Cricetulus griseus: one gene and its partners. The protein of the gene in region 1 interacts with the protein of each later gene in a pairwise test. Links are inferred from orthologs where the notes say so. Each region holds a gene or a part of one and is shown in the gene's direction. Other genes may lie near its edges.

Region 1 (4,118 bases):
GGGTTACATGTGACCCTATTTTCATTAAATAAGATAGTGTCAAACTCACCAGTGGGACTGTTACCAGAAGCCCTGCCATGAGCAGCGGCCTTGCCTCCTGGGGTCCAGTGTGTGAGTTCTGTCCCAGGGGCTTTGTCCTTGTCCTATGGGCCAGAGAGTCTCCATGCTCCCTCTTCCCCTCAACTGCATACCCCCCCCCCTTAGCTCCTCACTGGGGCTGGGCATCCTAGTGGACCAGGCCTATTGGGCCTATTGTTTCTGCTCTCTCTCTCTCTCTCTCTCTCTCTCTCTCTCTCTCTCTCTCTCTCTCTCGGTTTTCCGAGACAGGGTTTCTCTGTGTAGCTTTGCAGCCTATCCTGGCACTCGCTCTGGGGTGCAGGCTGGCCTCGAACTCACAGAGATCTGCCTGCCTCTGCCTCCCGAGTGCTGGAATTAAAGGCGTGTGCCATCAACGCCCCGGCACCTCTGCTCTCTGATCTTTGTGGGTCACCTGTGCATAACAGTCGACTTTTGTCAGGGTCTGTCTCAAGTATGGGACAGACAATTGCCATACAGCTCAGGCTGGCCAGAAATTGTAGGAATCCCTCTGCTTCAGCTTGCTCTGAAATGTTGGGCACTAATTAGCCCCGGGAACTATTTTCCTTTTATATATTTATGTTTTTATTTTAATTATTCTTGAGAAAGGGCTCATGCAATCCTGGCCAGGCTAGCCTCAAACTCAGAGAGATCTGCCTGCCTCTGGGCCTCCGGAGCGCTGGAATTAAAAGGTGTGCACCACCTCTGTTTCCAGTAGGTCTCTAACTTTTGTTATTTTTGAGACGGAGGCTCATGTAGCCCAGGCTGTATGGGAACTCACTGTGTAGATCAGGCTGGCTTCCACCTGTCTCAACCTACCTTGCACTGGGATTAAAGCCTTGCACCATCACTCAAGTCTTTTACTTTCTGTTGCTGTTTTGAGATTGGGTGTTTTGTAGCGCAGATTGGCCTGGAACTCTTGGTCCTCCAGCCTGTACACTTCAGTCAGTGGTGACAGGCCTGGCCCCTTCCTACCTCCGTGGGACGGGTATCACCGTGCCCCCAGCCGTGCCAAGCCTCCCCTCCCCACTCCAGAGAGGGCGAGGCACACCGTAGGCGATTCATAAATGCACCTTGGGGTCTGGGCACTCAGACTGTGGGTCTGGGGCCTGAGAGTGGAGTGGGGGATCGAGGCAGGCTTCGGGCCAGGGCTCGGGGCCGCGGCGGGGGCGGGGCGCGCGGGGCCAAGGTCACGGGTGGGGCGTCCGGCCTGCGCAGTGCCGGGCGCGGCAGGTGGAGCGGGAGCCCGGGCGGCACCGCGTCGCCATTACACAATAGCGCGGGCGGCGCGGGCGGGCGGCGGGCGGCGCAGGAGGCGGGACGCGGGGCCCCGGAGCTGCCGATCGGGGACAAAGCGCGGCCGCCCGGCGCCCCCCGAGCCGCCCGAGCCGGGGCGCAGCCCGCGCCCCCCGCGACTGACATGATGTTTCCGCAAAGCCGGCACTCGGTAAGGGGGACCCCGCGCTCTGCACCCCGGAGCTCGCCCTGCACCCCCGGTGCTCGCCCTACATCCCCAGCTCTGCTCACTGAACCCCCGGAGCTCGGATCCCGCCTGTCTCCCCGCCCAGGGCCTGCCCCAGGGGCTCCCACCGGCGCTGTCCCCGGGGTCTTTGCACCCAACCACCCAGGCCGTGCGCACCCCACCGGCCCAGCACTGCATCCTTCAGCCCGGACCCCTGAACTTTGATCCCGGCCTCGAGCCCACCCCGTGCTGCCTGCCCATCCCGACTCCGGACCAGCCTGTCTCTCAGCCCGGGGCCCCGCACCCCACTCCAGCCGCATCCGGCCTGTCTCCCAGCCCTGGGGCTCAGGCCCAGGGCTGCAGCACCCCAAGCCCAGGCCGCACGTGTCCTCCAGCCTGAGACCTTGCACCGCCACCTCTGCGCTCCCGCACCCCTCCGCACCAGCTCGCTAATGGCCCCAGACCAGCCTGCCCCCAAGTCCAAGGCCCTGCACTTCCATCCCTGCCCCCAAGTCGGCTGCCCCGCACCCCAGAATATAGGCTCCGTACCCACTGCCTCTCCCCCGAGCCCTTTCGGGCCTGGCGTCACCATCCGGGCCCAGCGCCACCCCCCAGCCCGGCCCTGTGTCCTGCAGCTGCAGGCCTCGCACCCCAGAGGCCTGCCACCTCCCAGCCCCCATCCTGCACCCTCAGTACCGCAGTGTGGGGGACCCTGCGCCTTTATAACGCCCACTGTGCCTCTGCCCCTGTCCGGAGCCCGAGGACCCCCCACGCCCGCCCTCCCCCAGCTCCAGGCGCCGACCCCCCGCACATCCCTCCCACCCCAGCTCCCGGTGGCCCGGCAGCCCCCACCCTGCTCCCAGCCTTGACCCCAGACTCTAACTGTGCTCCCCAGATCCGAAAACCTTACACCCCAACTCCTGGCCCAGTGTCCTCAGATGCCAGCCCTGTGCATCCCCTCACCCCCAGGGACACCTCTCGGCCCGCCCCTGCACCCTAACATTTACCATCTGCCTCCCTGACCCCAGGCCTGTCTTCCTCCCATGGCTTTCACTGGGGCTGGGGGGAACCCCGCGAGGCACCCCTGGGGCTGGGCAGCTTTGGGGGGAGTCCCCTGAGGAAACAGGTGTGATGGGGGTACGCCCAGGAAGTGTGGGGTGGTAGCTAGGTGCATCTTCCAAGCTGGCTTTGAAGGCAGGCCTGTGTCCTGTTTGACGTAGAGGGGCTTCCCGGGGACCCCTCAGAGGCCGCTGGAGGATGGGGTGCCTGCCCCCCAAAATGACCAACGGTAAAAGCGCCTCCTTGCCTGGGGGCCTCCCAGCCCCCTGCAGGCTTCCTAGGAGAGTGCTGCTGGGGCCTGCAGAGCTCAGCCAGGAAGTAGGGCGTGGGCGGGCAAGCAGGCCCTCACCCTCCCGCACCCTCACCCGCACCCGCAGGGCTCCTCCCACCTCCCCCAGCAGCTCAAGTTCACCACCTCCGACTCCTGCGACCGGATCAAAGATGAATTCCAGCTGCTGCAAGCCCAGTACCACAGGTGAGCCCGCGCCAGGAAGGCCGCACCCCCAGAATGTAGGGGTTATCTGTGGTCTGGAGAAAGGCTGGGAGGGGGTGGAGGCTTGAGGGTCAGCAGTTCAAGGTCATCTTCAACTACTTAGCAAGTTAGAGGCCAGCCTGGGATACATACCACCCTGAGTCCAAAACCAAACCAGCAGCCCCGTAGTGTGGAGGGGGAAACCGAGGCACACAGTGTGTGTTGCTTCAGAAGCCGGGTCCCCAGAGAGCGTGATGCTCTCATTTTAACACAGGCTGCAGTGGGTGTCCAGAGAGGGTTATTAATCAGCCAAGGTCCACACAGCCCCTCCTTCTCTTTCTGTCCACTTATGGAGTGGGGGAGCTTGCTGGTGTCCCACAGACCATCCAACTGACGGGCTCCCACAAACTGTTTTCCTGTTTCTCATGTGTGAAACTAATCACTCTGAAGCCCAGAGAGCTCAGCCATTTCCGAGGGCTGCACAGCACAGAAGCAGCCTGAAGTAGGGGACTGGGGAAAGCGTGGCCTGGGGTCCCCATTTGACCCTGTACTCCCAACAGTGAGTGAGCATGGGGGTGCGGCCCAACACTCAGTTCTCAGACACACAGGAGGAGGATGGAGGCGTTTTGGGCTAGCCTGAGGTACAGAGCAAACCTATGTCTCAGAAAACAAATAGTAATAATAGTAATAGTCTTTGAAAGATACTCAGAGTTCTCCAAGAAAAAGGAAATCTTGGGTTTGTGATTTTTTTTTAATTTATTATTTTTACTTTTTGGTATTTATTTTGAGACAGGGTCTCATGTAGTCCAGGCTTCCTCCAGCTCCCTTTGTAGCCAAGGATGACCTTGAGCTGCTAACAGTAGATGACAGTCAAGAAGGGGCCCAGTGGAGCTTCATGTGCTAGGTCAGTGGAAGCTACCTACCAGGCCACAGCCCCAGCATTTGTCATTTTAGAGAGGGCACAGGTGTGCCCCCCCCCATGGTCTCCCACTCGGGTCCGTGGCCCCGCCCTCCTCAGGGATGCCTTCTCTGAGCCCGGGCCTGAGTTCC
Region 2 (2,344 bases), on another chromosome or scaffold:
TGAAGTAAGGGTTGGAGCTGTACATGCCGACAGACAATTCACATATAGATGAGACAGTTTGGGAAGCCCTTTCTCAAAGTAGTATAAAATGAGGTAGGCAAGTAAAGGGGGAAAGATAGCTAGAAGGGACAAAGGCTCTGAGATTAGGCGAGATCTGCTTGATGTGTGCAGGAATTAGCAGGCGAGGCAGAGATTAGGACAACAGGAGGTCATGTAAAAAGGGCATGCAGAAGGAGGTCCTTGTATGTTACGACCAAGGGTTTGCTTTTTATTCAGAGCAGCAGAGAGGGAAAAACTGCTGGAGAACGTCGAAATGGGGAGTGAAAGGCTCTAACTCACATTCTAAAAGTGTTCTGAGGCTATTCTAGAGAATATGCAGAAAAGGGGAAGAATGACAGCTAAGGGATTAGATGTAGCAGACCAGACCGTGAAAGAAGGCTGGGATCGAGGTAGCAGAGATGCCCGGAAGTGACTGAATGTGGAGATGTATTTTAAAAAGCAGACCCAATAGCTATCAGCTCAAGGATCCTGGACCAAACTTAGTTATCGACAACTAATGACGTTTAAAATAGGCAGACAAAGTTATTTTACAGAGCTCATCACAGTTTATAACTTAGGAACAAAGGCACTGATAACAGGAATATGGAAAGAATCAAAGATAGAATGTTGGCAAATGGATACTCTGTGCAGATTTGGAGATCTTTTGGTGAAATTGTCTCAACTGAAGAGAAGCCCCTGTTGACAATTACTTATGTATTTAATGAAAGCACCCCTTGCAAGTCTTGAAGTCTCTAAACTCAAATGATCTCCCGCAGTATGACCCTCAGTGTCAGTGTTATTTCTCTGGGTGAAATTTAAACAAGCAAGGAAATGTGTTAAGAAAGCATTACTCTAAAAAAATGTTGATGGCTGCAGGCCCACCGAGGAACACTGTATTGGATGAACAGGTCGGCTGCAGAGAAGTTTAAGCTGAAGCAGGCCAGCCCTGAGTGCTGAGCTTCTATGCTCGCACAGCCCTCCACTGTGGCAGGCTTGGCTCCCCCAGCGTTTCTTCATCAGGCTGGGGGAATTGACAGAGGCCCGGGGCGATGCTCCCTTGGTCACGCCTTCCTCCTCCTGGGCCACGTCCACTCGGTCCGTCAGTCCCACCCTGGCCACACCCCCACGCCACCAGCACTCCCCTCCGCCACGCCTTTCTCACCGCAGTGCGCTGGCGCATTGGCTGCCAGAGTGACCTTGTGGGTGGAGCTTCCGCCACCAGCTAGACCCCCTCTGCGCAGTGCCCAGGGTCAGCACTCCTCTGAGGACACGCACTTCCTCTACGGCCTCCTTGAGCAGCTCCGCGGAGCCGATCCGAGCCCGAGAGCCCGAGACCTGCCAAGCGAGTCACCATGGTGGACGAGCTGGTGTTGCTTCTGCACGCGCTGCTGGTGCGACACCGCGACCTGTGCATCGAGAACAACCGGCTCATGAAACAGCTGCGGCTGCTGGTGTGTGAGCGGGCCATTCTGCTGCGCCAGGTACGTCCGCCCAGCTGTCCGGTGCCCTTCCCCTCACCGTTTAATGGCGAGAACGCCCGGCTCCCCGAGTTTATTGTGCAGACGATGTCCTACATGCTTGTGAATGAGGACCGCTTCTGCAACGACGCCATGAAAGTGGCATTCCTGATCAGCCTCCTCTCCGGGAAAGCCGAGGATTGGGTGGTGCCGTACATCCAGACAGATAGCGCCATTCTCTGTGATTATCGCGCGTTTGTTGAAGAGATGAAGCAGTGTTTTGGCTGGTATGACGACGAAGATGATGATGATGATGATGACGACGACTGTGAAGCGGTTGATTGCTAGGCCCCGAGCCCCCTTAGGCCTACATGAGGAGGACCCTGCACGCTGCGTCCTCCCTACCCCCACCGCTACTCCTGCTGCCTCCGTGCCCCCCTTTGCATTGCCATTCTCTTCCCTGCCAATCACTTCGCTCCTTCATCCCTTTTAGTGCTTGTCTTTGTGCCAATTACCTGCTACGAGTGCTTGAGTTGGGCCTGGGCCTGGCTCTGAGGTTCACAGTGTTCAATTTTAACCAATCCGGGCACCTTTCTAATCTGAACTGTGTTTTGAGCTCCAGCCATTGTCCAGGCCTGTGTTAGAACTCGTCAGACCACCTGCATTCCTGCCGCTGGCTTCTGATGGATCGCCATCTACATCTGCCAGAAGTGGATGCCTGTCACCTCACCCCCCCCCACCACCACCCCCCACTGCATCTCATCTGCAGCCATCCACTTTTCAAGATATGGACCAGGAAGAAGATGATGGAGTTGGCTACATCTATTCAGACTCTCATTTGGACAGTT
Region 3 (3,952 bases), on another chromosome or scaffold:
CCTTACTGTTTAGGCCCACGGTAGTGGTGATTTTGGATAGACTCATCCCTTTGTAGTTCTTGTTAAACCGTGTTTTTGATTGTTCCAAGAAGGTCTGAGGAAAGAAAGAAAGGTGGTTAGGTAGTGGCAGCTAAAGCAGTTTCCTGGTGTCTTTTCTAAATATCCCTCCACATCCATATGCTTTGGGCAAATTCAGGCTTTCACACCCACATGGTTTGGGCAACTTCAGGCCTTCACACCCATACACACATGCACACGAACCTCTGCCTGTTGAATGCTCTTCGGGAGGCTGGTGGCAACTAACCTGTAGTCTTGGGTAGGGATTAGATTTGCAAAGAACATAAGGCAGGGAAAGGGAATTGGTGAGAGAACAGGCACCTACTGTCTTCCCGGCATTGTCCAGGCCTAGGATCAGGATGCAGTATTCATCCTTCTGGAACATGTACTTGTACAGCCCCGAAAGCAGCGTGTACATCCTGCCCTGGCACCCTGAGAAATGTCAAGGTGTGTACCAGGGCTATCGGCCTCCTGTCCGCTTCATCAGTGGTCCGTCGGTCCTGCTAGTTTTCAAATGTGGAGCCTCGTGGCTCGCGACTCCTTGCCCCCCTCTCCCCAGCCCCCGATTCCGGACCCTGCCTCCACCACCGACCACCCGCTAAACCTGGGCCACTACTCCCACTGCGGGTCATCTTTGTGAATACACCATCAGTCCTGAAAAACCCATGGCGGCCTACCCTGCTCCGCCCTCCTAAGGCTTCTTTTCCGGACCCTCAACTCAGCACTGGGAACTTCGACTGTCGTAGCTACCAGAGAGTCAGCTTCTGAGTGGGCCGCCTTTGGATCCCCCCCCGCTGCCGGGCCCACGGAGCCAAAGAACCAGCTGCCGAAGCCGCTTCCCTGCCCCCTACCCCAGGATTCTGGAACCCCGGCCCCTCAGTCCGGCGGAGACCCACCTGCACCTGCTCAGATCTCGGAGCCGCAGACGCCGTCGTCGCGTCGCAAACCCCACCGACCTCGCGTTGACCCCGCGCGGTGCCTGTCGGGACACCGACCGGCCGACTGAGTACGAGAGGGCGGAGCCGCATCCCGACGGCCCCCGCGCGCCCCATCCCGGAGGCTCCCGAACGCGGGCACTTCCGGCAGCATCAGCTCTCGGGCGGAAGTGCCCGCGGCGGGCGGAAGGCTAGCGCGAGGGCTCTGCTGGCGAGGCCGGAAGCCCTTGTAGGCTGCGAGCACCGGCGGGAGGCGGGGCTGCGGACCGCAGAGGACGCGGTGGGATACTTTGCGGTTCCCTTGGCAGCGCCGAGGTCCTCCTCAGCCTCTCCAGCGGCCGGGGAGGGGGCGGCGTTGTCCTGAGCTCTGCCGACTGCTCTTCCCTCAGGTCTCGTCTGCTTTAGCGGTTCCGAAACTAGCCTGCGCGGTGTAGCGATGGACGAGGACAACCTGGAGACGGCCCTGCAGACCTACCGGGCCCAGCTCGGGCAGGTAGAGCTGGCTCTTGGTGCTGGCCTGGACGCTTCCGAGCTTGCGGACCTGCGCCAGCTGCAGGGCGATCTGAAGGAACTGATAGAGCTCACCGAGGCCAGCCTGTTGTCGGTCAGGAAGAGCAAGCTGCTGGCTACAGTGGACCTGGAGCACCAGGCAGAGGAGGACGCTGAGTACTTGGCTTTCCAGAAGGCTGTGGCGGAGGAAGGGGAGGCACCCGTCGCCCCCGTGGATGACTCGGAGACTGTCCCTGGGAGCGTGGTGCGGCCTGGACCCACCTCCCCTGCACAGGAGGAAGACGAGGAGGATCCAGATCAGGAGGAGCTGAGCGGTGCTAAAGTGAATGCCCCTTACCACAGCGCTTGGGGCACGCTAGAGTATCACAACGCAATGGTTGTGGGCACTGAAGAGGCAGAGGATGGTTCGGCATGCGTTCGCGTACTCTACCTGTACCCTACCCACAAGTCCCTGAAGCCCTGCCCGTTCTTCCTGGAGGGAAAATGCCGCTTCAAGGAGAACTGCAGGTAAAGCCCTCTGCTACTAGCAATAAGGGTCACTCGAGCAGGACCACTGCTGTGGCCTGCCGCCTTCACAACTTGTTCTCCACCCCGCAGAATTGATAAAAGAGAAGGGGGAGCTTCAGGTGGCTGACAGGCTTTAACAGGAACATTCCCTGTTAAGTAAACACATAAGTAAACACATTATATTCATTCTCTCTCTCTCTCTCTCTCTCTCTCTCTCTCTCTCTCTCTCTCTCTCTCTCTCTCTCTCTCTCTCCACCTCCCACCCTCCCTCCCTCTTTTTTTGGATACAGAGTTTCACTGTGTAGCCCTGTCTGTCCTGGAGCTCGCTCTGTAGATCAGTCTGGCCTTGAACTCAGAGATCTACCTGCTCTGCCTCCCAGGTGCTTGGGACTAAAGGCGTGTGTCACCACTTCTAGCTAAGATTTATTTTTGTGTGTATTTGTGTGGGTATGTGAACATGAGTACAGGTGCCAGAAGGTGTTGCATGTTCTACAGCTGGAGTTCCAGGTGCTTATGAGCCACCCAACATAGATCCTGGAAAACAAACTCAGGTCCTCTGCAAGAGCAGTATGCTCTCAACCACCAAGCCATTTCTCTAGCTCTATATACTTACTTTTCTTTTTAATTGTGTGTATGTGTGTGTGTTTGTGAATACATGTGTACTTGAGTACAGGTGCATGAGGAGGCTAAAAGAAGGTGTTGGATCTCCTGAAGCAGGAGCTTCAGGACTACTGGTAGTGAACTACTTGGGTCTTCCTCAAAAACATTACACATACTCTTAACCACTGAGCCATCTCTCCAACCTCCAGAGACCACCTATATTCCTTGGTTTGTGGTTCTCTTACATCACTTTAAGCTCTTACTTCCATGGTTACATCTGTACTCTGCACATTTTATTTCTTTACTTTTTCTTTAACATGGGATCTCATGTAGCTTTAAGCTGGCCTTGAAATCCATATATAGCCAAGGATGACTTTAAATTCTTCATCTTTCTGCTTCTACCTCCCTAGGGCCAGGATTACAAGCATGTGCTACCTAGCTTGGCTCTGCACATCTTTTTTAGATCCTAGTAGACTTGACATGTTCCTTGCTCACTCTCTTTCCTTCTCATGCCTATAGGTGCATAAATGATCAGTGTGCTCAGTGGGTTTTCTCCAAGAATACACATGTTGCTATAACCAGTGGCTGCTTTATCTGCCATAGTCTTTTTGTGGGAAGCCCTGTGATGAGAGATTTAATACCTCTAAGTACTTTCTCTGACTGACATATGCTCACTTCTCTGTGCACGAACCTATGGGTAGGCCCTGAACTCATCCCATTTTATATAATTTTTGTTTTATTTTATTTTGTATGTATATATGCATGTGCCATGGTGCTCATGTGTAGGTCAAAAGACAGCTTTTGAGTGTAGGCTCCTTCAACCATGTGGGCCCTGGGGATTGAATTCAGGTCATCAAGCTTGGCAGAAGGTACCTTTACTTGTCAAACCATTTGTCAGTCCCCACCCCACTTTATAGATGGAGAGACAGACACCAAAGCACTAAGTGATCGGTACAATGTTGCTGGCCGTGAGACCACTTCATCACAAGGAGCTGCTTGTGGTATCAATTTTAGGGCAGAACTAAAAGACAATAAAACATCTAACACCATCTTTACAACCATCCAGGATGAATGAGTTGTTTTCTTGAATTTGCTTTAGATTTTTTTTGTTTTGTTTTGTTTTGTTTTTGTTTTTCGAGACAGGGTTTCTCTATGTAGCTTTGGAGCCTATCCTGGCACTTGCTCTAGAGACCAGGCTGACCTCGAGCTCACAGAGATCCACCTGCCTCTGCCTCCTGAGTGCTGGGATTAAAGGCGTGCACCACCAATGCCCAGCTTGCTTTAGATTCTTAAAAATAAATTTAACTAACTCCACCTGCATTACCATAACTTTGGTGTATGTC
Region 4 (3,952 bases), on another chromosome or scaffold:
AAAAGAACTACATGTTAGGAAAAGCGTCTTTCCTACCCGGTCATCTTTCCTAGAGAAATTCTGTCTTCCTCCACAGACGCGGATATGGTAGAGTAGCTAGCTAACCCTGAGCAGTCGGACCAGGTGCTAGGAAACCCTCTGATCGCTTTACGTGACATCCTCACAAAACCCCGAGGCGACGACCTATGGTCTACTTTAAAGGAGTAGTCACAGCCATACAAAGCACCAAATACACTTAACCTTGTATACTCCAGAGTGTCCAGCAATCTGCGCTTTTTAAGCATAACACATCCGGGAAGACTCTTGTTCACATATCTGGACAGTGTTCCATTTAATGTGAATGTAGCTATTAATAATAAATGATAGGCCAGTGGCCAGATGACAGTGTTTTTTTGTTTGTTTGTTTGTTTGCTTGCTCTGGTTGGTTGGTGGTTACTTCCTGGGACAGGGTCTGACTTTGTAGCCCAGATTAGACAAGGCTGTAACTTGCCGCGGTCCTCCTGCCTCTCCCTCCCAAGTGTGGGAGGCATACAGGAGTGCCCGCAAGATTGCAGCTGCTGAAACGGGCGTGGGAATGCCCCGCAGAGGGTGGCGCCTCCCGAACTCCAGTCCCAGCTATCTCGTCAGACTCCGCCCACGACCCCCACTTGCAGGGATCTATCGAGTCTCCAGCAAGTTCTAGGGCTACAGGGGCCGGAAGTGTTTGAGGACGCTGAGCGGGCCCGCCCCTCAGCTTCCGGCACTGCTATTGGGAGTGCCTTCTGCAGGCGTCCGTGCCTGGTCGGTAGGATGGCGCTAGGCCGCTGCGGTTGTAGCACGGAGAGCAGGGTGCTGCTCCACGTCCTCGCTGCCCTCCGCCATCTGTCCCCGCTGGCGGGGCATGGGGGCTTCTTCCGCTTTGTACGCGTTCCCCGCCGCCAGTCATCACAGAGATGCGGACCTCCGCCGTCCTAGCCCTCCCGCCCTGTTCCCGCGTGTCCGCTAGAGCGTCTCCTCCTCGTTTCCGGTTGCCCTGGAGTCCGGGGCGGGGCGTGGGAGAAGGGGGGCGTAGCACAACCTCGGAGGGAACTCGTGAGTTTAGGTCGTGTGGAGACGCCGGAAGCGTCGGGAGGGAGGCCGGAAGCTGGGGGGCGGGGCCAGGAAGTGAGGAGGGGCGGGGGTTTATGAGGAGGCCGGGGGAGCGTTGGGGCAGATTTGCACTCAGGTCCACCTGAGATACTTGTCGGTGGTGCTCACCTCAGTCCCCTCCCCTCTCTGAGACGCGATTGTCGTCTAGGGGTAGGGGACTGTGTGTGCAGCGGTGGGCTGGTCGGGAGGACATTCCTCCGGCCTCGCCGCAGGCAAGGTGTGGGGAAGCAGGGCTTGGGGTGGGGACGGGTCTCCTGGGCTTCTGAGAAGGAAGACCCCCCCGCCCCCCCTCGGCCCCCACCACACTTCTACACTGGCTGACTGGACACTAAGATGGCTGCCGTTGCCATGACACCCAACCCTGTGCAGACCCTTCAGGAGGAGGCGGTGTGCGCCATCTGCCTCGATTACTTCACGGACCCCGTGTCCATCGGCTGCGGGCACAACTTCTGCCGAGTGTGTGTAACCCAGTTGTGGGGCGGGGAGGATGAGGAGGACAGGGATGAGTTGGATCGGGAGGAGGAGGAGGAGGTCGGAGAGGAGGAAGAAGTGGAGGCTGTCGGAGCAGGCGGGGGTTGGGACACCCCCATGCGGGATGAAGATTATGAGGGTGACATGGAGGAGGAGGCCGAGGAGGAAGAGGAGGGTGTGTTCTGGAGTAGTGGTATAGGCGGGTCCAACTGGGACAACATGGACTATGTGTGGGAGGAAGAGGAGGAGGAGGAAGATCTGGACTATTACTTGGGAGATGTGGAGGACCTGAGGGGGGAAGATGAGGACGAGGAGGAGGAAGTGCTGGAGGAAGATGAGGAAGAGGAGCTAGATCCGATCACCCAACTGCCGCCACCTCCAGCCCCTCGGAGGTGCTTCACTTGTCCCCAGTGCCGAAAAAGTTTTCCTCGGCGGAGCTTCCGCCCCAACCTGCAGTTGGCCAACATGGTCCAGGTGATTCGTCAGATGCATCCAACCCCTGGTCGAGGGAGTCGTGTGAATGAACAAGGCATCTGTCCGAGACACCAAGAAGCCCTGAAATTGTTCTGTGAGGTGGATGAAGAAGCCATCTGTGTGGTGTGCCGAGAATCCAGGAGCCACAAACAGCATAGTGTGGTGCCATTGGAAGAGGTGGTGCAGGAGTACAAGGTGAGTGAACTAAGCAAGGCAAGAGTTTAGTAAGGGTAGGGAGGAAATAGAGGACATCGGGCAAAGGGAATGTGGGTTCTCTTACAGGACCTCATGTCCTGCAGAAATGATTCTCCCTGTCCAAGCACTGACTTCCAAGGTCGATAAATTACAAGGATCCTGAGACTTCCTCTGTGGCTTAAGGATAGGAGTGCAAGTGACAGAGAGTGCATTCATCCTTCTGGATGGATCTTAAGTCTTATCCATGACAGAGTCACTTCCAGATGGAAAGAAATGGGACCAAAAAGAACAAGGGAGTCTGAAACAGGAGCATAGAAATAACTAGTGTCAGACCCAAATACTCTGCACTTGTTTCCTAACGGGTTCCACACCCATCCTATGATACAGATTTGCTGGTTGGCTCAGCACCCAGTCTCATGTATTAACCAGAAAGGAGGGTTTTAGGGTAAAAATCTTGTGTCTTTAAACTTTTTTTTTGTTTTTGTTATTTTTTTGAGACAGGATTTCTCTGTGTAGCTTTGGAGCCTATCCTGGCACTCACTCAGTAGTAGACCAGGCTGGCCTTGAACTCACAGGAATCTGCCTGCCTGTGCCTCTGGAGTGCTGGGATTAAAGGTGTGCCTACCCGGCTTCACTTTGAACTTTAATTATTACAGGAGTTAATATTTATAGGGCACTTCACATATAGTCAGTACTGTGCAGGTCACTTTTTGTGGATTATCATTCATAATTCAAAGTCACCATGTGAGTTTGATGTTTGCCATTCTCATTTTATTGATTGGGAAACAGGGTTAAATTCTGAACATGGATGTTTATGTATATACAGCTTTAATAAGTGATAGACTTGGATATGAACATCTTCCTCTTGGGGCTCCTAGGTAACACTACTTGGATATTTTAGTTTGACTTTTTTTTTTTTTTTTTTCTCGAGACAGGGTTTCTCTGTGTAGCTTTGGAGCCTCTCCTGGAACTCACTCAGTAGACCAGGCTGGCCTTGAACTCACAGAGATCTGCCTGCCTCTGCCTCTGCTTCCCAAGTGCTGGGATTAAAGGCATCCGCCACCAACGCCTGGCCTAGTTTGACTTTTCTGATGTGACTGTTCTAGGAATCTAATTCTTGTTTGGTTAACTGGCTTGTTCTTTATTTCTCTAATTCTTTGGACATATGTAAAGGACATGTGTCTGTGAAGCAGCCAGCACAGATAGAACTATCTTCAGATTTGAAGCCATAGAATCAGGAGGAGAGGGTAGCCTCCTCTGTATGGCTGCCCAGAGCTTTGTTTGTGACTAATGTTTCTATGCCTCCTCCTAATTCAGTCAGTAACTTCATTTAGGTGATCATCACCTCCTCAACTTTAGAGTCTAAGGCTTCACAGCTGATTGTCAGTTATTTGAGGAGATGTCAAAAGTACAGTGGGCCTTACTGCAGAAGTTCTGAATTAGAGTATCTATAGAATAGTCATCCTAAAATGGGCATGATAGTGCAAGCTTTTTATCCCAACACTTGGGGAAATAGAGGCAGGAAGAACAGTTCAAGGTCATCCTTGATGTAGCAAGATAGAGGCTAGCTCAAGATACATGAGACCTGAGGGCAAGAAACCCTTTTTGTTTCTTGTTTGTTTGTTTGTTTGTTTGTTTTTTCCTGGACAGGGTTTCTCTGTGTAATAGACCTGGATATCCTGGA
Region 5 (2,665 bases), on another chromosome or scaffold:
CAGAGAACTGTGGAGGCTTCAAGCTTTACCAAAGCATCATCTCATGAGATTTTCCCGCCTTCTCTGTCCTTCCACACGTTTCCCTCACGCAGACAGCACCGCCGTCTTCCTCCTGCACAAGGTGCCTATCCATAGTGACCTTGAGTTGCTCTAAAGCAGTCATGGGATGCTCAGCTTCTCTCTTGTGCCCCCTGTTGCCATCTCCAACTCCCTGTTCCGTAACAGCCGCCAGGGTACCCTCCGCTGCCCATTGCCTCCTGCCACCATTTGCCAAGGATCAGCCAAGTGTCCAGTTACCTAGGGTTTCTGCTAGTTGCTGCTCAATAGCTCATGTGGAGCACAAGTTCCCTTACGTCATTGCAGCAGTTGAGAGGTGGGGGTCTAGAGATGTCCATGCAGTCATCCAAGAGCTGGCTTATTTCTTGGGGATACTGTTCTCAGCCATGCAATTTGAGTTGGATTCATCACTGTGTTCAAAATTCAGCCAATGAGAAGAGAGGAGCTAGAAAGCAATTTTATTTTTTAAAGAACAAGAATGAGAATCTTGATCTCCCCCCCATCCCATTGGAACTTAGTCACGTGAATAGACTTGATTATAGGGGGATGTGGGAAATGTAGTTTCTTGACTGGTCACATGTCAGACCAGAATTTATGGAGTTTAGTATTATAAAGGAGGGGAAAGGCAGGTAACATGGCTTAGCAGGTAAAGGCACCTGCTACCAGGCCTGTTCACCTGAGTTCAACCCACAAGTTGAGCACAAACTGCCACAAGTTGTCCTTTGACCTTCACATACATTGTGGTATAGCACACACTCATCACACGCATACACATAAATGCTTAAAAGTGGGGAGGGGGGAAATGGGTGCCAGGGGATAGTTGCCTTTTATCCCACTGTGCGTAGAATAAAATTCACCATCATCACCCCTTCCTGCCTGGTGTGATCTGGCCCTGCCTCCTCTCTAAGCCCTTTCCCATTTCTTATCAGTCTACACCCAGTTAGTACTTTATCATTCTTCAACCCTTAGCTTAAGTGTCTCCTTGGAGAGGCCAGGTCACTTGCCACCTCTAGTTTTTTCTGCCTTTATAATATGTTTGTTCATTTATTTTTACATGTATGGGTGTTTTTACGTGAATGTGTATCTGTACACCACTTGTATGCTTGGTGCCTGTGGAAGCCAGAAGAAGGCATTGGGTTCCCTGGAACTGGAGTTATAGATGGTAGTGAGCTGCCATGTGAGTGCAAGGAATCAAACCTGGATCCTCTGAAAGAGCAGCCAGTGCTCTTAACCACTGAGCCAACTCTCCAGCCTATTGATTTCTAGCCCTACTAGACTGTCAGTTCCCTAGGGAAGGAGATCGTGTGTGTGTATGTGTGTGTGTGTGTGTGTGTGTGTGTGTGTGTGTGTGTGTTTGTGTGTGTGAGTGTGTGTGTGTGTGTGTGTGTGTGTGTGTGTGTGTGGAGGGGGGGGGTTGCTGTTATGTGCCTGCCTGTTACGGTGTTGACTTATAGATGTAGTTTTACTTAATTCACCTTGGTGCTTGTGTTCCCTTCCTTTGCAGGACACCAAGGACTTTGCCAACAGGTAGGAATTTCATTTGCTTATGGTTACTCTCCCTGCTTCTATGACCATGGTCCATGTGAATAATGGGGAGTGATAGGATGCCAAAGGCAAGGCAGCCCTTGTTTCATGAAAGCTGTCTTTGAGGGTTAGAGGCTCTTCTCTCCCAGTGTGATCTCTGAAGTCCAGCTGGGTTCACTGTCTTCATCTGAGGCACAATGGGAGAGTCAAAGCCTGGACTGGTAGACAGTTCTCACTTGTGGGATCTGCTGGCAGTCTTATGTCCTTGGTTAGTTTTTCTGTCTCTTGATTAGGGATAATCAAACCTTTCCTGCTCACTTTATGATTGTCACAAACACGGGCAGAAAAGCAGGAAGAGCCAAACAACAGGTTCTTGTGTCCGTCACATTTTCAGGTACCCCCGGAAGAAGTTTTGGATTGGGAAAGCCATCCCTCACATGGTTAAAAGAAAGGCAGGAGAATTCTCAGATAAACTTCTCTCTCTGCAACGGGGCCTGAGGCAGTTCCAGGGTAAGCACTGGGGACACCAGGCTGGGCCATACTTGAGGGTCTCCTGGCTTCTCACTTCCATATTCTCCCATCTTACCCTTCCAAGGAGCTCTAGTTCCTGCATCTTTCTTCCTTGGGATCTCCAGTGAAGCCCTGTCCCATAATTGATAACCAAGTCCGAAATGAGTTCATGAGTTTGCTCGTCTGAAGCTCATTTCTATCTTTTTTTTTAATCCTTAGGCAAGCTCCTGAGAGACCTGGAGTATAAGACAGGTGAGTAAACATAGCACTGTCCCTGTGGAATCCTCACTGGTATTGCCCAAAGATGGCCCAACCCTTACGTTTTTAACCGCTGGGTAATCTGCAGTGCTGATGACCCTTGGAGGTCACAGGTCACACTTCTAGTCTTTCTCATCTACCTCACCACGTGGTCCTCTGAGAGCAAACAGCAGTGCTAGCCCAAGGCCAGAGATCATCCTGCCCAGACCTGTGCTGTGTGCGCCGAGTGCCTCCAGGGGACACAGTTCACAGAGACTGTGACATAAATAGCACTCTTGGAGTGTGCAGTGAGGCAGCACTGGCACGTGGAGACTGG
Region 6 (3,500 bases), on another chromosome or scaffold:
AGAGAGTGCACCACTGAAACAAACTGCCTTCCAATAGTTCTCAATACCTTGTGAGGTGCTCCTTAGCACTTCCAGTAGTGTTTACTATAGCATGTCACATTTAGAATTTGTTGCAAAGCCATATGAAAAGGTCTGGGCTACCTGCTCCAGCCTGATGGCTTTCTGTGTTGCTTTTTTGCTCAGCGTAGCTGGGCTAAGCTGCTAGAGAAGCATGTCCTGTGGGGATCTGGTTGGAGAGGATGGTGGCCCAGCGTGGCTGAGATGCTCTTTGTGCCCCTGATTGCCCTTGCTGAACACGCAGCAGCATCCTGTCTTCTAAGAGCTTCAGCTCTGTTTTTGGAGAGCAGGAAATAAGGAATAGATTTGGAAGTAGGAGGTTGATGGGCTGGCTCAGTAATTTGCCAAAACCTTTTAACAATTAGGATACATTCTGTTTTATTTGGCTAAGTGGGAAGTCTTGGGTATTTATCTCAGAATGTCTAAACAAAATGTAAAATGTGTGTCTGCAATATTACAGAGAATTTTAAATTGTTGCAAAAAAGCTATTTATGGTAGCTTAAAAAATGTTACAGCGTAGAAATATTAAAATGAAAGGTAATAATTTCCTTCTTAGAGCTGTTTCCTCAAGATAAAACCATTGCTAAAAAATAAACAGATGGCATATGTTAGTTTTTCCTTGTACGTATGTGTATTCTCCCAGTGCTGTCATACATGCTGATACTGCATACTGTTTGCTCTTGGCTCTAGTTGTTAGAAGGTAATAGATCTTGTGAAAGGCCCGTTTCCTGACCCTGGCTTTGCTGAGGGGCACTGTGTCAGCTAAGCAAAAGTCATATGCCTCTTGTCTTTGATATTCACAACTTGTGAAGTTAAGGCAGCCTTTCTTGTTAAGGTTTAAAATCCACGATGAATGTAGTTTGGTAGCTATGGGAACAGAGATGGAGTTTGGTAACAACTATTAAATGTTAACAACTATGATATGCCTTAACCAGTCCTGTTGTTATGGCTTTTGAACTTACATGTTTATTGTATTAAACAGCACTGTCCATGTTTATGTGCATATTGCTGGCCGTACATACTGTGTATATTTCTATGACATTAAAAACTTTTTTTCTTCTTTTAGAAAAAACCTGCAAAAATGTCTCTTTATCCATCTCTTGAAGATTTGAAGGTAGACAAAGTAATTCAGGTACGTTTGCTTTTAATTTTAAGAATTATTTCATAACATGTTCACTAGTGAAATGAAATGGGAAGCATGCATTTGTTGGTGTATTGCTATGTCTAAGTCTGTTGTAGACTAAACTTTCTCAAGAAGACTAGAAATTCTTTTTTCTCTCTGTATATTTGTTAGCCCATGCATGCATGTGTATGCCATGGACACATGCGTGTAGACTCCTGTGAGACCAGAAGAGGTCTCTCTGGAGCTGGAGTTACAGATGGTTGTGAACAGCCAGGTTCCATAGGCTCCAGTGCTGGGAACTGAACTTGGGTCTGCTTTACGAACACTATACTTTCTACAGCTTAACCCCTGAACCACTCTCCAGCCAGATAGTATTTCTTTTAAGTATTTCTACAGTCTTCAGAATGTTTCATTTTCTTAGTACAGTCTAAATTGCATATAACTCATAAAAGTTGGAGTATATAATATGCATGTAAGTCTTTAGATAGTCATAGTTTTGTGTAAAGTTGGTACATTTTTCTTGATACCATTCTGGGGTGAAAGGAGAGTGAACCAGGTAGTAATAGTAGCTCAGGTGTCCCAGGGACTGATGCAGTGGCACTAGGTGGGGAAATTGCTCCAAGGACAGTTTTTTTCCAGCCTCAGTCTAGGAAGGATATTACATGTAGCTTTTAGCATCTGAAGTGTGCAGTGAGCTGCCAAGGAGGGATGCTTCTAAGCTATGAGGGGCATGGTTAGTCATTTTTAAATGTCTGCCTTTTCTGTGGTGTTAAGTTTTGCCCCTCCTGTGGTAATTTTCACAAAGTTCATCTGAACATGCTCTCTTTTCATAAAGCTTTTATCTGAAATACTTGGCCTAAAATCAATCAATATTACATTAGTACATTAAGGATTAACATACAGATTGCAAAAAATGATCTTTGTCCATGTTATTCTTTAGTAGCTGAGTATGGAATTGAACTTAAGTTAACCACAGTTGGCTTTTAGTAGAGGGTTTTCACTGTGGAAATACAGAAGGCAGTTGATTTTGACAGATGTTTTCCTGGCCTTCAGTTTACGTCAGCTGGCCCCTTTAAGAGAAGTGGATTCCTTTCAAGGACCTTCAGTGTTCAGGGCAGAGAGCTAGCTACTGGCAGATGGAACAGGGCTGGGCAGAGGTGGGGTATGGCTCTTCTGTTCTGGTTAGATTTCAAAACACTCTTAGTCCAGCCTTTTGGGCTAGTTGTTGTGCTTCATTATCTAGGGTGGGTGACTGCTTGAGATGCCCTGGCAAGAAGTTACAGAGGAATGTTACATTCCTTCTTGTCTTCTGGCCCTTTGCACCACAGCAGTGAACTGGCAGTTCATATTCCGTAAATTATTTTGCAATAGCCGTTAAGCCGTGGCTTTCAGTGCCACATACTCCTAGAACCATTTTCAATTCCGAGCTCTTTATAGCCTGGGCCTGTCTGTTATGCGTGAAGGCCGGTATTCAGTCCAACCCCAGCATGAAATAAATGAGCATAGTAGCACATGCCTGTAAACCTAGCACTTCAGAGGTGGAGGAGGCAGGAGGATCAGGAGTTGATGGTAATGCAGTACTCAGCTAAATGGGGAGTTTGATGCTAGCCTGGGCTACATCAGGCTTCATCTCAAATACCAATAGAGAAAGCACATACAGTGGATTTATTTGCAGAATACTGTGAAGCACTGACTATAAAAAAGATACATTTTTTTTTATTTATAGATTTCCTTTGGAAAATAAATGGTTGCTGAAGTATTTAAAATGAAACTTTGAGTAAAGCTTCAATTGTTCATTTCTTTTGGGAAATTCTATCTAGATTTAACTTGTAAATCATTTAAGTATATGTAAATATTTTCTTTTCTAGGCTCAGACTGCCTTTTCTTCTGGCCCTGCCACCCAGGCAGTTTTGGTGGATGTTTCTGGTGCTTACCCTACAGATGGAAGTAGGTTCATACTTTGGGCTCATTTTCTTTGGAAAGAAATATATACAAAGCCTTTTTTTCTCCCTCTGAAGTTCAGAACCTAGGATTTTGACGTTATATGAATTTGTGATTAACAATCCAGTAGCAGTAAGGAAAAATGGTTTACTATAGAACTAACCTGTATTTAATCAAGAGAGTGCTCTCTGAGTATGAAGGTATGTTTTAGGACATAATGCAATTGTATTTTAGTTTGAGCCATAGTCCTTAACATGGCCTGGTCATTAAAGGGGAAGCACTGTTGCATGGAGCTTCAGCTTTCCTGATAAGATGTAGCTGCCTGCAGGCATTCTGAGCTGCCTCATTACACCTTTGTGGGGAGTTCAGAAGCTCCCTT
Region 7 (4,288 bases), on another chromosome or scaffold:
GTTCCTTTGTGTGACCTTCAGGAAGGCTTTCCTTTGGGGGCTTCATTTTTTTGTTTTTTCTATACTGGGGTGGAACACAGAGCCTTGCACCTGCTAGGCAAGACCTCTGCTAAGGAGATACACTTCCATCCCAAGCCTTATTTTTCTTAACTTACCTGGGAAGGTGACCAGCTTTATAGTGGCCATATTGGTACATGCCTATACGCCCAGCAATTGGGTGGTAGAGGCAGAAGAATCAAGAGTTCAAGGTATTTTGAGGCTAGCCTAAGTTAATGACACCTTATCTCAAAATGAAAACAAAAGGGCTTTAGAAATGGTACATCAATTAAGCGCACTGGCCAATCTTCCAAAGGACGTGGGGTCTGACTCCCAGAGCTCACATGGCAGCTCCCAACCATCTGAACTCCAGTTCCAGGGGTCCAGTGCCCTCTTCTGCCTCCACAAGCACCAGGTATGCACGTAGTGCAGACATACATGCATGCAGGCAAAACACTCATACAATAAAAACAAACAAACAAAAAACTAAAAACAAATAGCATATCTGCTTCAGGGAGAGTAACAGCATGTACTAAGTACTTGGCCCAGAATGGCCATCCAATAAACATCACTTGCCTCAGAATGCAACCCCTTCCATCCTTGGGAAGTGTTTATCATGAGATGGGTTCTGGGCTTTCTTTTTCTGTACATTTGGAGAGTGTGCCTATTCTGTGTTCCTCCTGGGCAGGGTTAAAAGTTGAGGAGACAGGGTTCCAGTCTGGGCTCATACTTCTCCCAGATTCCACCATGCTCACTTACCAGCTCGCATGGGAAGTCCCAACTTCAAGGCTCCGTGGCGTAGGGCATAGGACAGAGCCTTAGACAGCTGCACATCTCGGTCCTGAAAGAGTCATTGGGTTTTGGTAGCTAGCCCTGAGCCCTGAATGTCCTACTGCAAAGGTAGACCAGAACAGCTCCAGTGGCCTCTGGGACCATTGGTTCTCCAGTCTTCCCACCAAGAAGCTGAGGCTCAGAGGGTCTCCTCCCCTGTCCAGCCACTGCCGGGGGTGAGGGTGGAAAGGTGCACACCTGTTCCCGGGGTCTATGGGCCCTTCTACCTTCCTGCCTCCTTCCTCCAGGGGCGTTCATGGCCAAGACCTGTAGGGAGCAGGAACGTGTGGCCACTCTGCCCATAAAGTCACAAAGGCTCGGGATGGGTGAATCACACCGCTCATCCCACCCTGGAACCCTCTGGTCCACACAATGGAAGTTGAGGCCCAGCTGGCGAGACTTGCCAGGGTCACACTGGCAGCCACGAGACCCGAGGGATCTGGATCAGACTCCGCTCTCTGGAATCGGATCGCGGATTTGCCGCTGCCTAGGTCTCCGGGCTGGAGACTAGACGCCAAGGTGAGCCAGGCCGATGCGGATCAGAAGCGCTCAAGGAGGGTCAAGTCGCAGGCCTGGACACAGACTGGCCAATGGGAAGCCGCGAAGGAAAGGGGCAGGCACTTCCGCTTGAGAGGAAAGAGGTGGAGCTTGGGGGCCAAGCCGCCGGTGAATTCCAAGAGCCAGCTTCCAGAGCGTCCGTCCGGGTTGGAGGTAAGTACATCTGGGTTTGGGGGCCATGAACATTGGAGCGTCTACTGCTGCTGGGTGGTAGGGATGCCCAAAGGTTTTAGGGATCTGGGGCAGCAGGAGTTCCAGGTGCTTGCTGGGCTCAGGATTCTTGCTGGGTTGATACTCTTGCCCAAGCAATAAGTAGTCAGGGATCTGCAGAAGGGTGGGCTCACTTTCAGGAGTTCTGTGGAAAAGAGGGCCAGCTCATTGTCTCGAGTGACAGGATGGCCATATGTGTCTTCTCCCCAGAATTTCCTTGTCAAACCATGGACCCTGAGGTGTCCCTCCTGCTGTTGTGTCCTCCTGGGGGACTGTCCCAGGAGCAGGTAGCAGTAGAGCTGAGCCCAGCTCATGATCGTCGCCCACTGCCTGGAGGAGACAAGACCATTACTGCCATCTGGGAGACAAGGCTACAGACCCAACCCTGGATCTTTGATGCCCCTAAGTTCCGCCTTCACTCGGCCATACTGGCATCCAGCTCACCTCAGCCACAGCTGCTCCTGAACCTGGGACTAACTTCCTACCGGGACTTCCTGGGCACAAACTGGTCCAGCTCAGCCTCCTGGCTGCGACAGCAGGGAGCTACAGATTGGGGTGAAAAGCAAGCCTATCTGGCAGATCCACTGGGGGTGGGTGCCATATTGGTCACAGCTGATGACTTCCTTGTCTTCCTGCGCCGCTCTCAGCAGGTGGCTGAGGCGCCTGGGATGGTAGACGTGCCTGGAGGGCACCCTGAACCTCAGGTAAAATGACTGGCTGGGTACAAAGGCACAAAATTCAAGCTCCTAGTTCTGGTTTTATTTTATCTTAAAGGGAAAAGTGGCCTGGTGTTTCTCAGCCAGTAGCCTCCCGTGCTGCATGCCCTGCTAGAGGGCTGCCCACCCAGCTGAGCACCTCCCATGACTCTCACCAATATTGGGAGGAGACAAGGTGCTCACTGCCATTTGGGAGATCAAGTTATAGTTCTAAGCTGAAACACACCTATGAAAGCTAGGGAGCATGGGAGGAGGCTGAAGGGGAGATATCTTTTCTCACCTTCCTAGTTGGAATAGGAGGACCTGGGTTAGGGAATTGCCAAGACTCCCACACTGAATCTGCCCTAGGCCCCCATAGCCAACAAGAGGAAAAGCAGAATGGGAACTGGAATAGATGAAGGCTGAGCCTAAATTTTTCACAGGCCCTGTGCTCTGGTGGCATCCCCCAGCACAAGGACCTCCCTGGGGAACTGGTGGTACGTGAACTCTTCTCCAGTGTCCTACAGGAGATCTGTGATGAGGTGAGTGACACATGACACTCCCAGACACATGATAGGCATGAATGAGGGGGTAGGATTTGCTAGAAATCCACAGTCCTGGGCCAGAGTGAGGGTCTGCATGAGCCTCGCTGCCATTGAAGGAGCATAGCATTAACACTGAGGCCATGATTCCTTAGCCCTCAGATTCTTCTTTACTACAGTGCAAATAATGAAAAATGTCTAGTCTAGTCTGTTCCCATATTTGCTGAAAAAATAGTGAGAGTCTTGGTTACTTCGCTTGGGTAAAATGGTTTCCCTGGACAATTTGTTCCATTTTTCATCTGAAAATTAACACACTCAGAGCCTGTATTTTGTGTAATGGGGCATTTGGCTAGCAAAACAAAAATGCCAAGTGTCACAGCCATTGAGGATTGGGGATATAGCTCAGTTTTGCTCTTAAGATTGTTTGCCTAGCACAGTGGTTCTCATCCTTCCTATTGCTGCAACCCTTAATGTAATTCCTCATGGTGTAGTGACCTCCAACCATAAATTTATTTTCGTTGCTACTTCATAACTGTAATTTTGCTACTGCTGTGAAGCATAATGTAAATATGTTTTCCAATGGTCTTAGGTGACCTCTGTAAAAGGGTCATTTGACCTCCTGAGGGGTTGCGACCCACAGGTTGAGAAACACTGGCCTAACAATGTACAAAGCCTGGGGTTTTATCTTCAGTACTGTGTAAACCAGGTACAGTGATGCATACCTGTAATTCCAGCACTCAGGAGATGAAGGCAGGACCAGAAATTCTGGGTCATCTTTGCTAAATAGTGAGTTTAAGGCCAGCCTGGGCTACTTGAGGTTCTGCCTTAACAAAAATAAACATACAAAAACACCAAACTAACAAACAAAAAACCCAGGCCATTGAGCTGTCAGCCTGACAGGTGGGACTCCCTGCCACAGGTGAACGTGCCACCGCATACCTTGAGCCAGCCACTGTTATTGGGCATCGCTTGCAATGAGACCAGCGCGGGCAGAGCCAGTGCAGAGTTCCATGTCCAGTGAGTGGGCTCTGGGGTGCAGGATCCTGGGTGAGGTGGGTGGGGAAGGAGTGGGTGTGAGGCGACTCGAGTTCTGTGGGGTTCCCATAAAGTCTGGACACCAAGCCACCCTCATGTTTTTGTCTAGGTGCAGCCTAACTTCAGAGGAGGTTAGGAGTTATTACATGAGTGGGGGACCTGAGGCCCACGAGTCTACAGGAATCATCTTTGTGGAGACACAGGTGTGGAGTTGAGGCCTTCACGGTGGTCTGGTATTGGGGGGAAAGAATACTTGGGTGAGGCAGAGAACTCCCGGGTCTCCTAGAGTTTCCAGAGGCACAAAGCTTGGGTCCTACCTAAGGGGAAAGCCCATGAACGGGGATAGACAGGAGTACTGAGATTCAGTAACTATAGGCAGAA

The links.
Region 2: the proteins of Tle5 (region 1) and protein LDOC1-like interact in binary tests that used the Homo sapiens proteins (3 or more experiments, as listed by UniProt). The two-hybrid records come from large-scale screens. The link is inferred for Cricetulus griseus from reciprocal best matches to the Homo sapiens genes TLE5 and LDOC1.
Region 3: the proteins of Tle5 (region 1) and Zgpat interact in binary tests that used the Homo sapiens proteins (3 or more experiments, as listed by UniProt). The two-hybrid records come from large-scale screens. The link is inferred for Cricetulus griseus from reciprocal best matches to the Homo sapiens genes TLE5 and ZGPAT.
Region 4: the proteins of Tle5 (region 1) and Trim41 interact in binary tests that used the Homo sapiens proteins (3 or more experiments, as listed by UniProt). The two-hybrid records come from large-scale screens. The link is inferred for Cricetulus griseus from reciprocal best matches to the Homo sapiens genes TLE5 and TRIM41.
Region 5: the proteins of Tle5 (region 1) and Trim26 interact in binary tests that used the Homo sapiens proteins (3 or more experiments, as listed by UniProt). The two-hybrid records come from large-scale screens. The link is inferred for Cricetulus griseus from reciprocal best matches to the Homo sapiens genes TLE5 and TRIM26.
Region 6: the proteins of Tle5 (region 1) and Sdcbp interact in binary tests that used the Homo sapiens proteins (3 or more experiments, as listed by UniProt). The two-hybrid records come from large-scale screens. The link is inferred for Cricetulus griseus from reciprocal best matches to the Homo sapiens genes TLE5 and SDCBP.
Region 7: the proteins of Tle5 (region 1) and Nudt22 interact in binary tests that used the Homo sapiens proteins (3 or more experiments, as listed by UniProt). The two-hybrid records come from large-scale screens. The link is inferred for Cricetulus griseus from reciprocal best matches to the Homo sapiens genes TLE5 and NUDT22.

The regions. Positions count from the first base shown.
Region 1 is NC_048598.1:102,308,517-102,312,634, forward strand, and holds the start of Tle5 (TLE family member 5), read left to right. Parts: upstream 1-1,318; 5' UTR 1,319-1,495; coding exon 1,496-1,522; intron 1,523-2,973; coding exon 2,974-3,071; intron 3,072-4,118. UniProt on the Homo sapiens protein: Transcriptional corepressor. Acts as a dominant repressor towards other family members. Inhibits NF-kappa-B-regulated gene expression. May be required for the initiation and maintenance of the differentiated state.
Region 2 is NC_048604.1:11,336,581-11,338,924, reverse strand, and holds protein LDOC1-like, read left to right. Parts: upstream 1-1,391; coding exon 1,392-1,844; downstream 1,845-2,344. UniProt on the Homo sapiens protein: May have an important role in the development and/or progression of some cancers.
Region 3 is NC_048599.1:540,403-544,354, reverse strand, and holds the start of Zgpat (zinc finger CCCH-type with G patch domain-containing protein), read left to right. Parts: upstream 1-1,152; 5' UTR 1,153-1,428; coding exon 1,429-2,009; intron 2,010-3,952. Other genes in the region: Arfrp1 (ADP-ribosylation factor-related protein 1), read right to left, coding at 7-94, 383-475. UniProt on the Homo sapiens protein: Transcription repressor that specifically binds the 5'-GGAG[GA]A[GA]A-3' consensus sequence. Represses transcription by recruiting the chromatin multiprotein complex NuRD to target promoters.
Region 4 is NC_048600.1:63,472,683-63,476,634, reverse strand, and holds the start of Trim41 (E3 ubiquitin-protein ligase TRIM41), read left to right. Parts: upstream 1-1,152; 5' UTR 1,153-1,461; coding exon 1,462-2,268; intron 2,269-3,952.
Region 5 is NW_023276806.1:228,893,226-228,895,890, reverse strand, and holds part of Trim26 (tripartite motif-containing protein 26), read left to right. Parts: intron 1-1,561; coding exon 1,562-1,584; intron 1,585-1,975; coding exon 1,976-2,091; intron 2,092-2,310; coding exon 2,311-2,343; intron 2,344-2,665.
Region 6 is NC_048595.1:154,149,917-154,153,416, reverse strand, and holds part of Sdcbp (syntenin-1), read left to right. Parts: intron 1-1,123; 5' UTR 1,124-1,138; coding exon 1,139-1,189; intron 1,190-3,048; coding exon 3,049-3,127; intron 3,128-3,500. UniProt on the Homo sapiens protein: Multifunctional adapter protein involved in diverse array of functions including trafficking of transmembrane proteins, neuro and immunomodulation, exosome biogenesis, and tumorigenesis.
Region 7 is NC_048596.1:52,458,918-52,463,205, forward strand, and holds the start of Nudt22 (uridine diphosphate glucose pyrophosphatase NUDT22), read left to right. Parts: upstream 1-1,488; 5' UTR 1,489-1,578; intron 1,579-1,845; 5' UTR 1,846-1,862; coding exon 1,863-2,339; intron 2,340-2,773; coding exon 2,774-2,872; intron 2,873-3,791; coding exon 3,792-3,889; intron 3,890-4,016; coding exon 4,017-4,110; intron 4,111-4,288. Other genes in the region: Trpt1 (tRNA 2'-phosphotransferase 1), read right to left, coding at 796-877, 1,066-1,170. UniProt on the Homo sapiens protein: Hydrolyzes UDP-glucose to glucose 1-phosphate and UMP and UDP-galactose to galactose 1-phosphate and UMP. Preferred substrate is UDP-glucose.